Linked DNA regions of Diceros bicornis minor. The protein of the gene in region 2 binds, or shares a complex with, the protein of the main gene of each other region. Links are inferred from orthologs where the notes say so. Each region holds a gene or a part of one and is shown on either strand. Other genes may lie near its edges.

What was found. The genes of interacting proteins can lie anywhere in the genome.
Region 1: TUBGCP2 (region 2) and TUBGCP4 share a complex: the UniProt entries of both Homo sapiens proteins name them as parts of the gamma-tubulin ring complex. The link is inferred for Diceros bicornis minor from reciprocal best matches to the Homo sapiens genes TUBGCP2 and TUBGCP4.
Region 3: TUBGCP2 (region 2) and tubulin gamma-2 chain share a complex: the UniProt entries of both Homo sapiens proteins name them as parts of the gamma-tubulin ring complex. The link is inferred for Diceros bicornis minor from reciprocal best matches to the Homo sapiens genes TUBGCP2 and TUBG2.

The regions. Positions count from the first base shown.
Region 1 is NC_080744.1:40,808,282-40,812,027, forward strand, and holds the start of TUBGCP4 (gamma-tubulin complex component 4), read left to right. Parts: upstream 1-986; 5' UTR 987-1,070; coding exon 1,071-1,433; intron 1,434-3,746. UniProt on the Homo sapiens protein: Component of the gamma-tubulin ring complex (gTuRC) which mediates microtubule nucleation.
Region 2 is NC_080745.1:95,367,522-95,371,267, forward strand, and holds the start of TUBGCP2 (gamma-tubulin complex component 2), read right to left. Parts: upstream 2,750-3,746; 5' UTR 2,682-2,749; intron 1-2,681. Other genes in the region: ZNF511 (zinc finger protein 511), read left to right, coding at 2,806-2,958, 3,309-3,382, 3,704-3,746. UniProt on the Homo sapiens protein: Component of the gamma-tubulin ring complex (gTuRC) which mediates microtubule nucleation.
Region 3 is NC_080757.1:41,714,648-41,718,393, reverse strand, and holds the start of tubulin gamma-2 chain, read right to left. Parts: upstream 2,459-3,746; 5' UTR 2,273-2,458; coding exon 2,224-2,272; intron 1,971-2,223; coding exon 1,858-1,970; intron 1,676-1,857; coding exon 1,508-1,675; intron 1,194-1,507; coding exon 1,125-1,193; intron 782-1,124; coding exon 702-781; intron 301-701; coding exon 174-300; intron 1-173. UniProt on the Homo sapiens protein: Tubulin is the major constituent of microtubules, protein filaments consisting of alpha- and beta-tubulin heterodimers. Gamma-tubulin is a key component of the gamma-tubulin ring complex (gTuRC) which mediates microtubule nucleation.

The DNA of each region.
Region 1 (3,746 bases), on a different chromosome or scaffold from region 2:
TCTCCCTCTGTTAAGAAGAGTTTCTTCCTAGGGTAGAGAGAGATGGAACTATCAGAAGGAATATACTCATGTCTAAAGTCTTGCCAGATCTGGGCTGACTTCCCTTATGCTCTACGTGGCCACCTGAGGTAGCACCAACTTCAGGACAGCAAGGCAAAACAGCATGAAGGAGAGAGACCTTGCAAAAACTCCATTTCTGGGTGACTTTCAGGGCAGCCCCGGCAAGCAGCAGAGAATAGAAAGTACTGCCTGCTCCTCCTCCACCTCCCCCAAATCTGATCCCATTTTGCTCCCGTCACCAATGCTGCATAGTGAACCATATGGGAGACCTGGAGCTCGAAAGGATCTACAAGGAGGTCACCATCCTGCTGAAGGCAACAAAAAGCCTCTGTCCAGCGGGTCGCAGCTGATCTCCCCCAGTACCTCCGCAGTCCTTCCCGAGGCCCCTACGTCCGCCCCGGCCCCTCAGACTCCACAACTACCAATTCCCACCCCAGACGAAAATCAAGTACTGAATACTGGGTCTTTGTTTTCCCTCACAGCAGAAGTAACCGCTCGGCAAATATTCAGGAACTACTGACGGGAAACCTGGCGCATTGGGAGAAGTTGGTTTTGGCTCCCGAAGCGAGGGCCAGGTGGGCTCGGGGAGAGTCACTGAGGTCGTGGAGAGAGGAAGTCCGAGGGGGCAGTAGTAATGTGTCTCCTGAGGACGAGCTTGGGTGCTGGCCAGGGCTCCGAGCGCTGCGGGGTTCGCGAGCGCGGAGCTCAGCTCAAGGAACGGCGCGTGCGAGGTTCCGGCCTCTTTGTCTTCGCTCCCTCCGGCCAGGGCACTCTCGGAGCCATCGTGCAGTCCCTCCAGAGGCCTCCGACGGGGCTAAAGCGCCCTGAGAGCACCCTCCGGCTCACCCCTGGGAGCGTCTCCCTCTCGGGGTGTCCCTCAACCCGCTCACATCTCTGCCCCGGGGCCAGCCTCACCAACTCGGGGTCCGGCCCCAGCTCGGGCTCTACCAGCCTCCCAGTCCGGCTCCCAAACCGGAAGTCCGAGCGAGCGACTCGGGCGCTGACGGCGCATGCGCAAGGTCAGACACAGCGACTCCTCTCGTGTGGAGAGCCGGCGGCAGCGAGCGAGTGGGCCTAGCCGAGCGCCGCACACTTCCGGGACCCGGCGCGCCGACCTCTTCCCCGCTTCCCCTCCGCACCTCCAGCAGCAATTGTCTTGGCGGGTAGATTCGGGGGGAACCGCCCGTCCCAGGGGCTTGTGCGCGGGTCGGGAAGGGGCACTCGCCTCCGAGGTCTCCTGGAGAGGTGCTGGAGGAGGGGGCGGCGGATATAGTGACTCGAGGTCCGCCGTCGGAATGATCCACGAACTGCTCTTGGCTCTGAGCGGGTACCCAGGGTCCATTTTCACCTGGAACAAGCGTAATGGCCTCCAGGTACTGTCCGGCTCAGAGCGCGGGAACTAGCTAGTGCAGAATGGGTGGACCTGCCAATGCTTGGGGAGGAGTCTGAGGGACCGAGGGGGCGGGGCTTGCGGGGGCTGAGGCATTCGGGGGGCGTGTCCCTGGGCAGGTAACTGTAGGGCAGTGCCTGAGGAGCCTACGGGTGTTGTAGACACCCTGAGAAGGCTGGGCCTAGGCTGGGGAACGGAGGGCAGACCTCGACGGGCCATGCCTTCCGGGAGAAGGAGGGAGCCCGGGACCCGGCCTGAGGTGGAGGTGTCTGAAAGAGAGTGCCTGGGGAACTGGACGTAAAATGAGGGAGGCAGCTTCTCCCATTTTCACGTTTGCACTCTGTTTTAAACTGAGTTTTGAAAGCTAGTCCACATACATAGCGCTTAACACACAATAAAGGTTCAGCAAATTTCGTTGAATGAAAGAATAAATGAGAGTGTTTCCCTCATTACTCCTTTTCCAGGAAATTTCTGCACTAGGAGAATTTGGAAGGGGGCCTTCGTGTAACTAGGAATGTATGAAGAGGAAGGGCTATGTACCATATGCATTATCTCATTTAATCTTCACAATCACCTATCTCCATTTCACAGATTAACTCCCAGTGTCCGTGTAGCTAGTAATTTGCGAGCTTGATCTTGAACCCAGGTCTGTCTGGCTCCAGTATCTGAACTACTCTTTTCTACTTCTGCTTTCAGCAATGTTATCTAATTCTCAATAATTTAATAACTTAGGTATTGTTAGCCCCAGTTTACAAATGAGCAAACTGAAGCTCAGAGAACTTTATGGTAGCTAGTCCTAGTAATGGCAAGATTTGAATCTAGCTCTGTCTGATCACAAAATCATACCTTTTCCTATGAGAATTGGCAGTATAGGCTGTGGAAGAGCAGAAAAATTACATTCTTAGTCTATAAAATCTACCAATCAAATAGATTCCTCTGGTTATTGTTTATTTTCCCCCGCAAAACTAGCATAGTGCCAAGCAGATAGGAGGAAAATGTTCAGGAAGTATTTGTGGGTGCTTGAGTGTCTGAAGTAAAAGGAAATATCAGAGTATAGGAAAGATAGCTGCTTTCCTTTCTTATAAAAAGGTCTCAATCAGATATTTTCCTCCTCAAGATCTCAGCTTTAAAGTCACCTCCTCAGAAAAGCTTTCTCTGACCACCTCTTTGAGTATCCTCCCCATATTGCCATTATTCTCTATCACAGAAACTTGTTTGTTTCCCTTATAGGACTTAGCACAATTCATATTATTTATTGTTGTTACTTGTTTATAGTCTTTTTCTCACATAGATTGCTCACGGGGGCAAAGACCACAGTGGTCTTTACTGATCTACCCAGAGCACCCAGCACAATTTCTGCCACGTAGTAGGTGTTCAGATATTTGTAGAAGAAAAGAAGATCACCAAAACCAGCAAATGTTACATACTTTCTGCAGAGAAGTATTTTTCACATTCGAATAAAGGGAAAAGTTGTCAGGAATGCCCAATGTTGATCAAAATCATCTTATTGTAATACTGAATATGTATACACATTAAGCTAAGTATAAAATCAAACATATAGCTCTTAAATAACTATAAAAAGAAATATTTTTACAAAGTAAACAGAACTACCCAATCGATAACTTCAAATTAACATTAACCTAATGCAGAGTTTCTCAACCTTGGCAGTGTTGACATTTTGGACTGGATAATTAATTCTTTGTTGTGGGGGGGGGTGGGCCTGTGCGTTGTAGGATGTTCCGCAGCATCTGTGGTCTCTACTCACCAGATGCCAGTAGTACTCCCCAAGTTGTGGCAACCCAAAAATATCTCCAGACATTACTGAATGACCCTTGGGGGCAGAATTGCCCCTGATTGAGAACCACTGATCTGATTAACATATATTATTGTTTTGCTGAAACTAAATCGCCAACAATTGAGTTTAATAAAGACCTTGCTACAGATCTGGTTCTGTATTTTCTATTTTTTTTTTCCCTTTTTCTCCCCAAAGCCCCAGTAGATAGTTGTATGTCATAGCTGCACATCCTTCCAGTTGCTGTATGTGGGACGCCGCCTCAGCATGGCTGGACAAGCGGAGCGTCAGTGCGCGCCTGGGATCCGCACCCAGGCCCCCAGTAGCAGAGCGCGCACGCTTAACTGCTAAGCCACGGGCCGGCCCCTGTATTTTCTATTTTGACTTCAGTAACACTAATGTAGAGAGTGCTTGTTAATATAAGTAGCTTGTACCAAATGGTATCAGTAACATTAAAGTATTGTTTGCTGTTTCAGAATAACTAGACCTTGAACTTTTCTAAAA
Region 2 (3,746 bases):
AGTGGAGAAGACTCAGCACACACCCTCACAACATGCTAACAATGCACATTAATTTGTAATTCTACACTGAGAAAGTGAGAGTCTAACCTCGTGTGATGGAGAACTAGTTCTCCATACGTAAACATCACAGTGTCACAGTATACAAACAGCAAATACTGGCCAGATGCAGGGTGTCTCCAAAGAGGAAAGCACAGCAGTAAGGACCAGCTGGTGTATTAAGTCACTAGCGCACGTCCTTTGTGAATCAGGAGGTGTTCCTAGTAACTACAGTTACAGGCGCAGGCACAGCAGGGCACAGGCTGTGGAACCCCAGACAGACTGAACCCTGACTTGGCCACTTCCAGGCCAGAGGGCCCTGGGCAAGGAGCTTGCCCTCTCAAAGCTTCCTCTGAAAGGGGTGAGTAGTAAACGCCAGCCACAGAGCTGCTGTGGAGACTGATCGTCTTATAAAGCACCACAGGGCCTGCGTGTACTGAGTTCTTGCACTAGTGTTATTAGAAAAGCAGGGGGGGCCGGCCCGGTGGCGCAAGCGGTTAAGTGCACGCGCCCCGCTGCGGCGGCCCGGGATTTGCCGGTTCAATCCCAGGCGTGCACCGACGCACCGCTTGTTAAGCCATGCTGTGGTGGTGTCCCATATATAGTAGAGGAACGTGGGCACGGATGTTAGCCCAGGGCCGGTCTTCCTCAGCAAAAAAAAAAAGGAGAATTGGCAGATGTTAGCTCAGGGCTGGTCCTCCACACACACACACACACAAAAGAAAAGCAGGAACAAGTGCTGCTGCTATTACCACGTAAAGCCAACCACTGCAAGTGTTCATTGTTGCCTGACAAATGGTTGGTTTTACAAAAGGAAAACTGGATCTGAATCACTGAGAGCATCGGAAACCATCGGTTATCCTACTAGTCACCCAGGGCCCTGAATGAGGCCCTACAAACCACAGAAAACAGAAAAGAAAACACGAACTCTCCCACTGCCAGCCTCTTCATACCTAAGAGCAACCAGATTGACCCACATTCCAAAAGGCTTCCTAAGGACTGCGGGTTGTCCTGTAAGGGCTGGCCTGAGGACCACCTTGGCAAGGATGCTGCTGCGTTTACCATGGACACAAAACACCCCTCCACCAGATACAAGCAGGCGGAGAGAGCTCTTCTGAAGAGAGATCACCTAAGTGAATATTTACTTAAAAACTATCTTCATGAATCTTCACAACTGTAGTAGAAATAAAACCACAGATACCCCACATCACAAGTATTAATCCTCGGAGGAGTCCACTGTTCTCTGTGGATTTGGGGAACAATTCCTGCAAGATTTCTGGCTCTGCCCTGCAGGGAGCACCTCCCCTCAGGGGACCTCTGGAAACGCATAGGGGTAACTTTTGGTTGTCACAGTGACTGGAAGGGTGCTCTTGGTATTTAGTGGGCAGGAGCCCAGGGAAGTTAAACAGCAACAGACACGTCCCACCAAAAATGCCAACAGCGTACCCCCTAAAAACAGCTGTGAGGAACATTTAATTGCAGCGGCTCACGTGATCTTTTTGATGCTCTTGACTTGTGTTAGTCACCACAAGTGGACAGACGCAGACTTCGGCGACTGAGCAGAACCCATCTCCTCCTCACACGAGTGTGAGGCAGCGCAGGGGCAAGGAGGCAGCGACACCTATGCACGAGTCAGGCACACACACCTGTGAACATCTGACTGAAACACAAAGGGAGGTGACAAGCACTCTTTGTTGAAGAGCTCAAAGCTAATTGGACAAACTGGCTTGAAGAACATTACTTTAAAACGTGTGAAAAATGTCAGGAGCCTAATGCTGTCTCAGAGACAGAAAATCAATGCATAAGAGATGAAAAACAGTCTGCGTCTGTCTAGAGCTCTTCTTAGGCACGCAAATGACCGGTGGAGGACGTAGCCACAAACCTTTACTTCCAAAATGAAGTGAGTGCAAGTTTCTAATTATATTTTTAAGTTACATTTTTAACTTCTTAGAGAAACAGCAACCCATTTCCCTTGCCACTGCACGTATGCGCGCCCGGCGTCTGCTCGGTGCGGAACCACTCGGGAACCACTCGGCGTGAGGAGTGGCGAGCGGGCCTGCGGCCGTCCTCCGCAATAGGGCTCAAGCATCCTTGCGTCCCTTCCGCGTCACCCGTCACCATTTAACTCGGTAACTGTGTCACGAGTTAGACGTCCGCCTCTCCTGCCGGGCTGCAGGCTCCGGAGCGGCGGGACCACCTTACTTCTACACGCCGCGCCCTGTCCGCGCCGGGAGAGGATGGGGTGGGATGGGGGACAATGGGCAGGCGGGAAACAGCAGGGCCTGGCGGGCCCTGGACCGGGGCAGTGGGAAGCCACCGAAGGGTTACGAGACAACTCAGGTCTCCACAGAGACCTGGCCCAGAGGCGGCCGCAGCCCGTCAGCCGGGAGAGAAGGGGTGCGGACGGGGGACGGCACCGGGGACGGGGGGAGGGCGCCAGCCGCGCACAGGGGCGGACGGCGAACAGAGACCCGCTCCGGATCCGAGCCGGCGGCGCCACAGCGCGGAGGCCAGCTCTCCCCGCGCCGGCCGGGCGTCCGGTGGGCAGAGGGCTCATGCCACCCCCCGGCCCCTACCCTCCAGACTCGGACCCCGCCACCCCTAGTCCCCCGGGCTCAGGCCCCCCGACCCCGGCTCCGACTCACCGCAGGACCCGCGCGCGCACAGCCCGCGCCCGCGGCGGAAGTGGCGCGACGTCACGTCCGGCCCCGCCCCGGCCGGCCCACAGACGGTGGCTGACAGAGTGTGGCGCCGCCGCCGCGCACGGCGATGCAGCTGCCCCCCGCGCTGCACGCCCGCCTCGCCGGGGCACCTGGGGCGGCCGAGCCGCTGCCCGTGGAGCGGAACCCCAAGGCCGGGGCCGCGCCTTTCCGCTTCATGGCGCGCCTGGTGCGCTTCCCGCGCGAGCATGAGTTCTTCGAGGTGCGTGAGCCGACGCCGAGGGCCGTTGTCCGGCGGCGGGGCCTGAGGCTCGGGGGTGGGGCCTGGGCCGTGGGCGGAGTCTGGTGGAGCGGAGCCTCCGGCTGAGGGGCGAGGCCTGGGTCGTGGGGCGGGCCCTGAGGCTCAGGGGCTGGGCTTGGTGGAGTGGGGCTTCTGGCTGAGGGGCGAGGCCTTGGTCGTGGGCGGAGCCTGGTGGAGCGGCGCCTCCGGGTGAGGGGCGGGGCCTGGGTGGGGGGTGGGGCCTGGTGGAGCGGGGCCTCTGGCTGAGGGGCGGGGCTGCGGCTGGGCGGGGCTGCGAGGTGCCGGTTCAGCCCACGGCGCGTGTTCTACAGGAAGGGGACGTCCAGCGGCACCTTTATCTCCAGGACGTGCTCACGCAGGTTGCCGGGGAGCCCGAGAAGCCCAGGTGAGAGAGGCCCTTCTCGCCCCCCAACCCCACCCTGCCTCCTTCCCGTGGCTCCCATCCTCCCCTTCCCGACCACCCCTGGGGTGGAGGTGGGGAGGACCTGCCGCCGCGCCCCCTGCCTGCACGGTACGCGCCGGAGAGGCTGGCCTCCCCACCGCCTAGCTGGTGTGAAAATATAGTTCTTAACAGGGTAGGATTTGGGGTTGTAAAAGAAACACTCAAAACTCTATCGCGTCACTTAAAATGAAGTTGTCGACAGGGAGTTTGATGTTTTTTGTCAGCAGCGGAATGGTGTCCCCATGAGGCCGTTTCTTTTGCCAGGGTGCCCGAGTTCACCTGTCAGGTGGCGGGCTGCTGCCAGGTG
Region 3 (3,746 bases), on a different chromosome or scaffold from region 2:
ACCTGCCTAAACAGACTGTAAGTAACTTGGGGTCAGGTCCTTATTTCATAACTTGGGCCATCAGGTATGGCTTTGTTGGTCCTTTGTTCTCTGGGCAGGGGCTTGGGAAGGGCAGGGTGTATGTGTCTCACTGGTTTGGGGAAAAGCCCCCCACTCCCTCCTCCTATGCTCACCACACAGTCTGCGTTCTGGGTCAGCCTCTTGAGTGTGAGCAGCGAGTTGTAGGGCTGGACCACCACGTCGCTCATCTCATCCTGGTTGGGAAACACTGAGTACGTCTGCACCAGCTTCTTGGGGTACCTGGGGGTGAGGAAGAGCGAAAGGGAAGGTGGCACAGTGAATTGGAAGGCCCCCCATCACTGCCCATCTCTGCCTTCTCTAGGGTCTACAGGGGCCATTCCTTTCCAAGTGCCACCAAGCTCTTATGCAAAAGGGGTGAGGGCAGAACTGAGTCTTCAGAGCCCAGGAGCCAAAAAGGATAAGCCTAAAGATTCACTCTGTAGGTCTCCTCCTTCCCTAGGCAAACCTCTCTCCCCAGAGTTATTGCTTCCAAGATGTTCCCTGGGTAGCCAGGCTCTGATCCTACCTATGACTCAAAGGGGTAGTGGCAGACCTTCCAATCCAAGAGAAAAAAGTAACCAAAAGGAAAAACATTACCTAGAGAACTAGGGCTAATGCCTTCTCCCCAAACACAGGCTTACCTATCATTCAGTCGTTCGAGGAGGTAGGAGCCCAGGCCAGAACCTGTCCCCCCAGCAATGGAGTGACACAGCACGAAGCCCTGCATAGAGAGGGACAGAGAGGCAGTCTCCAGGGATCTGGGGAAGATGCTTCAGGCTTGTCTCCTTCCCACTCCCAACACACTCATGTTTCAAGGCTTCCTGTGTATCCATCCAGGCTGAGGCTCCTTGGGAAGGAAGGCTCATGCCTAAGGAGCTGATGCCATCCAGACTAGGATCTCCTTGATGACAACTGTACCTTATTTACCCCGATATCTCACATCTGATGCTCAATAAATGAGTTTGGAATCGAATTGCCCCCATCACACCACCCATTCAGCCTACTACCTGACCTTCCCCAGCACTTTTCAGCCTTTTTTTTTTCTTCAGTGGGCAGAACCTCACCTCTAGGCTGTCACTTCCATCTGCTTCTCGGTCTATGATGTCAAAAATGTCTTCATGGATTTTCTCACCCTGTATAGAGACATGGGGAGGGAGGGTCAGGATGAAGTCTCTGGAGAGCATCTCTTTTTAGCACCAAGAACGCTACCCTGGGGCACTGCTGCTGTCCTCAAGCAGAGCCTCAGCAGGAGCCCTCAAACCAGAAATGCTACTTTGTAAATGATTTGCACAAAGTTTGCATAAACTCCCTGGCTATCCCTCTTGTTAGGGTATCCCTTTGTCTCTTATTTATTGTCAGTCTGGTCTGGTCAAATCCCCAGGCTGCTTGAGCCTGCCTTGTCCAGGGGAGGGAACATCAAGGGTCTCTGAGATGGCCATCTGGATACCTGGGAGAATCCGCTGGCCCAGTTGTTGCCAGCCCCTCCTCCATGCTCTGACAGGTAGATGTTCTCTGGGTTGTAGAGCTTGGCATAGGGGGAGTTGAGGATGGAGTGGATCACCCGGGGCTCCAGGTCCAGCAGCACGGCCCTGGGGATGTAGTGCTCATCGTCTGCCTGTCATGGGGAGTCCAGGAGGGGGCCCAATCAGCTAAGGCCAAGGCCCCCGTCCTCCCAGCTCTGGCTCCTGCCTGCCCTCCCTCCTCAAGCCAGCCGCCCTGGCTTCTCTGCCCAGCAGGTTTCCCAGCACCAGGCCGCTGCCTTCCCTTTAGGACCCCTGGCCAAGTCGCTGGGGGCACCTGGTAGAAAAAGACGTCCTTGCGGTCAGTGCCCTCGGTGGCAAACTCCTCCACGATGCCCTCGGGGCTGATACCATGCTCGGCGCACAGTTGTTTCCAGAACTCGAACCCAACTGGGGGATGGGAAGAGATGCCTGAGTCAGGGTTAGGCTGTCACACTCAGAGGCTGCACCCAAGACGCCTGGTCTGCGAGCCGTCACAGCCCAGGGCTGGAGGCGCGGCTCTCAGTCTGGGGCTCATTCATCATGCGCAGTTACGGCAGGGGGTTCATGGAAGGGAAAGGGGGACTGGAGGATGCCAAGCACTTGGGTGGGACCCGAAGAGGCAGAACCGGAGACTGGAGGGGCCCGCCGCTCGCTTGCTCACTCTGGTTGCCGCACTGGCCCAGCTGCAGGGTGATGATCTCCCGGGGCATCGCTCTCCAGACGTGGGCGCGCCAGCCTGGCCCGGCGGGAGTCACGGCCCAGACGAACGCCTAGCAGCCGGGTGCGCAAGACGTGGGGAGAGCGCGCGCTCTTCGCCTTTTGACGCGGGTGCTCGGTCTGCGCGTGTGCAGTGCGGGCCTCCCCGCGACCGGGGGGCCGCGGAGCCCAACCTGGGCATCATTTCCCCCACAGCAGTTGCAGCTGGAATTCGGCACAGGCGCAGAGGAAGGCCACGCCCCCTCCTGCCCGCCCACCCCAGCTCCGCGCCTGCGCGGTGAGACTTGCCGGGGTTGCAGAGTAGCGACCCGGGTGTGGGGGAGGGGAGGGGAGCGGGGGTGGGGGGGGAGAGAGGCCCAGGTGTATGGAGTCAGTGGCGCTATATATATAGGTGAGCTACTCCGCTGGCTCTGCTGGAGCCAATTTTCTTCTTTTAAATTTCTATTTTTAAATTAAATATATCTAACAAAATTTACCATTTTAACCATTTTTTTTAATAAAGGATGCTTAACTTTTTTTTTTAAGTAAGAGTGGCCCTGAGCTAACATCTGTTGCCAATCTTCCTCTTTTTCTTTTTTCTCCCCAAAGCCTTAGCACATAGTTGTATAACCTAGTTGTAGGTCCTTCCAGTTCTTCTCTGTAGGACGCAGCCACAGCATGGCTTGATGAGTGGTGAGTAGGTCCGTGCCCAGGATCCCAAGCGGGGAACCCCGGCCGACCAAGCAGAATGTGCAAACTTAACAGCTATGCCACCGCTATGCCATCAGGCTGGGCCCCATTTTAACCATTTTTAAGTGTACAGTTCTGTGGCATTAGGTACATATGCATTGTTCTGCCACCGTTACCACCATTCATCTCCAGAACTTTGTCATTTTCCCAAACTGAAACTCTGTACCTATTAAACAGTAACTGCCCCCCATCACCATTCTACTTTGTTTCCATGAATCTGACTACTCTAGGTGCCTTCCATATACTGTGGAATCATACAGTATACATTATTTGTCCTTTTGTGTCTGGCTTATTTCACTTAGCATAAAGTCCTCAAGGTTACTCCATGTTGTAGCATGTGTCAGAATTTCATTCCTTTTTAAGGCTGTATAATATTCCCTTGTATGTATATACCACATTTTGTTTACCCTTATTCGTCTATTGATGGACCATGAGGTTGCTTCCACCAGTTGGCTATTGTGAATAATGCTGCTATGAACATCTATGTACAAAGATCTGTTTGAGTCCCTGCTTTAAATTCTTCTGGGTATATACCCAGAAGTAGAATTGCTAGATCATATGGTAATTCTATGTTTAATTTTTTGAGGAATTGTTGTATCATTTTCCACAGCAGCTGCACCATTTTACATTTCTAACAGCAATGCACAAGGGTTCCAATTTCTCCATATGCTTGTCAACACTTATTACTTTCTGGGTGGTTGTTGTTGTTGTTTTAATAATAGCCATCTTAATGAGTGT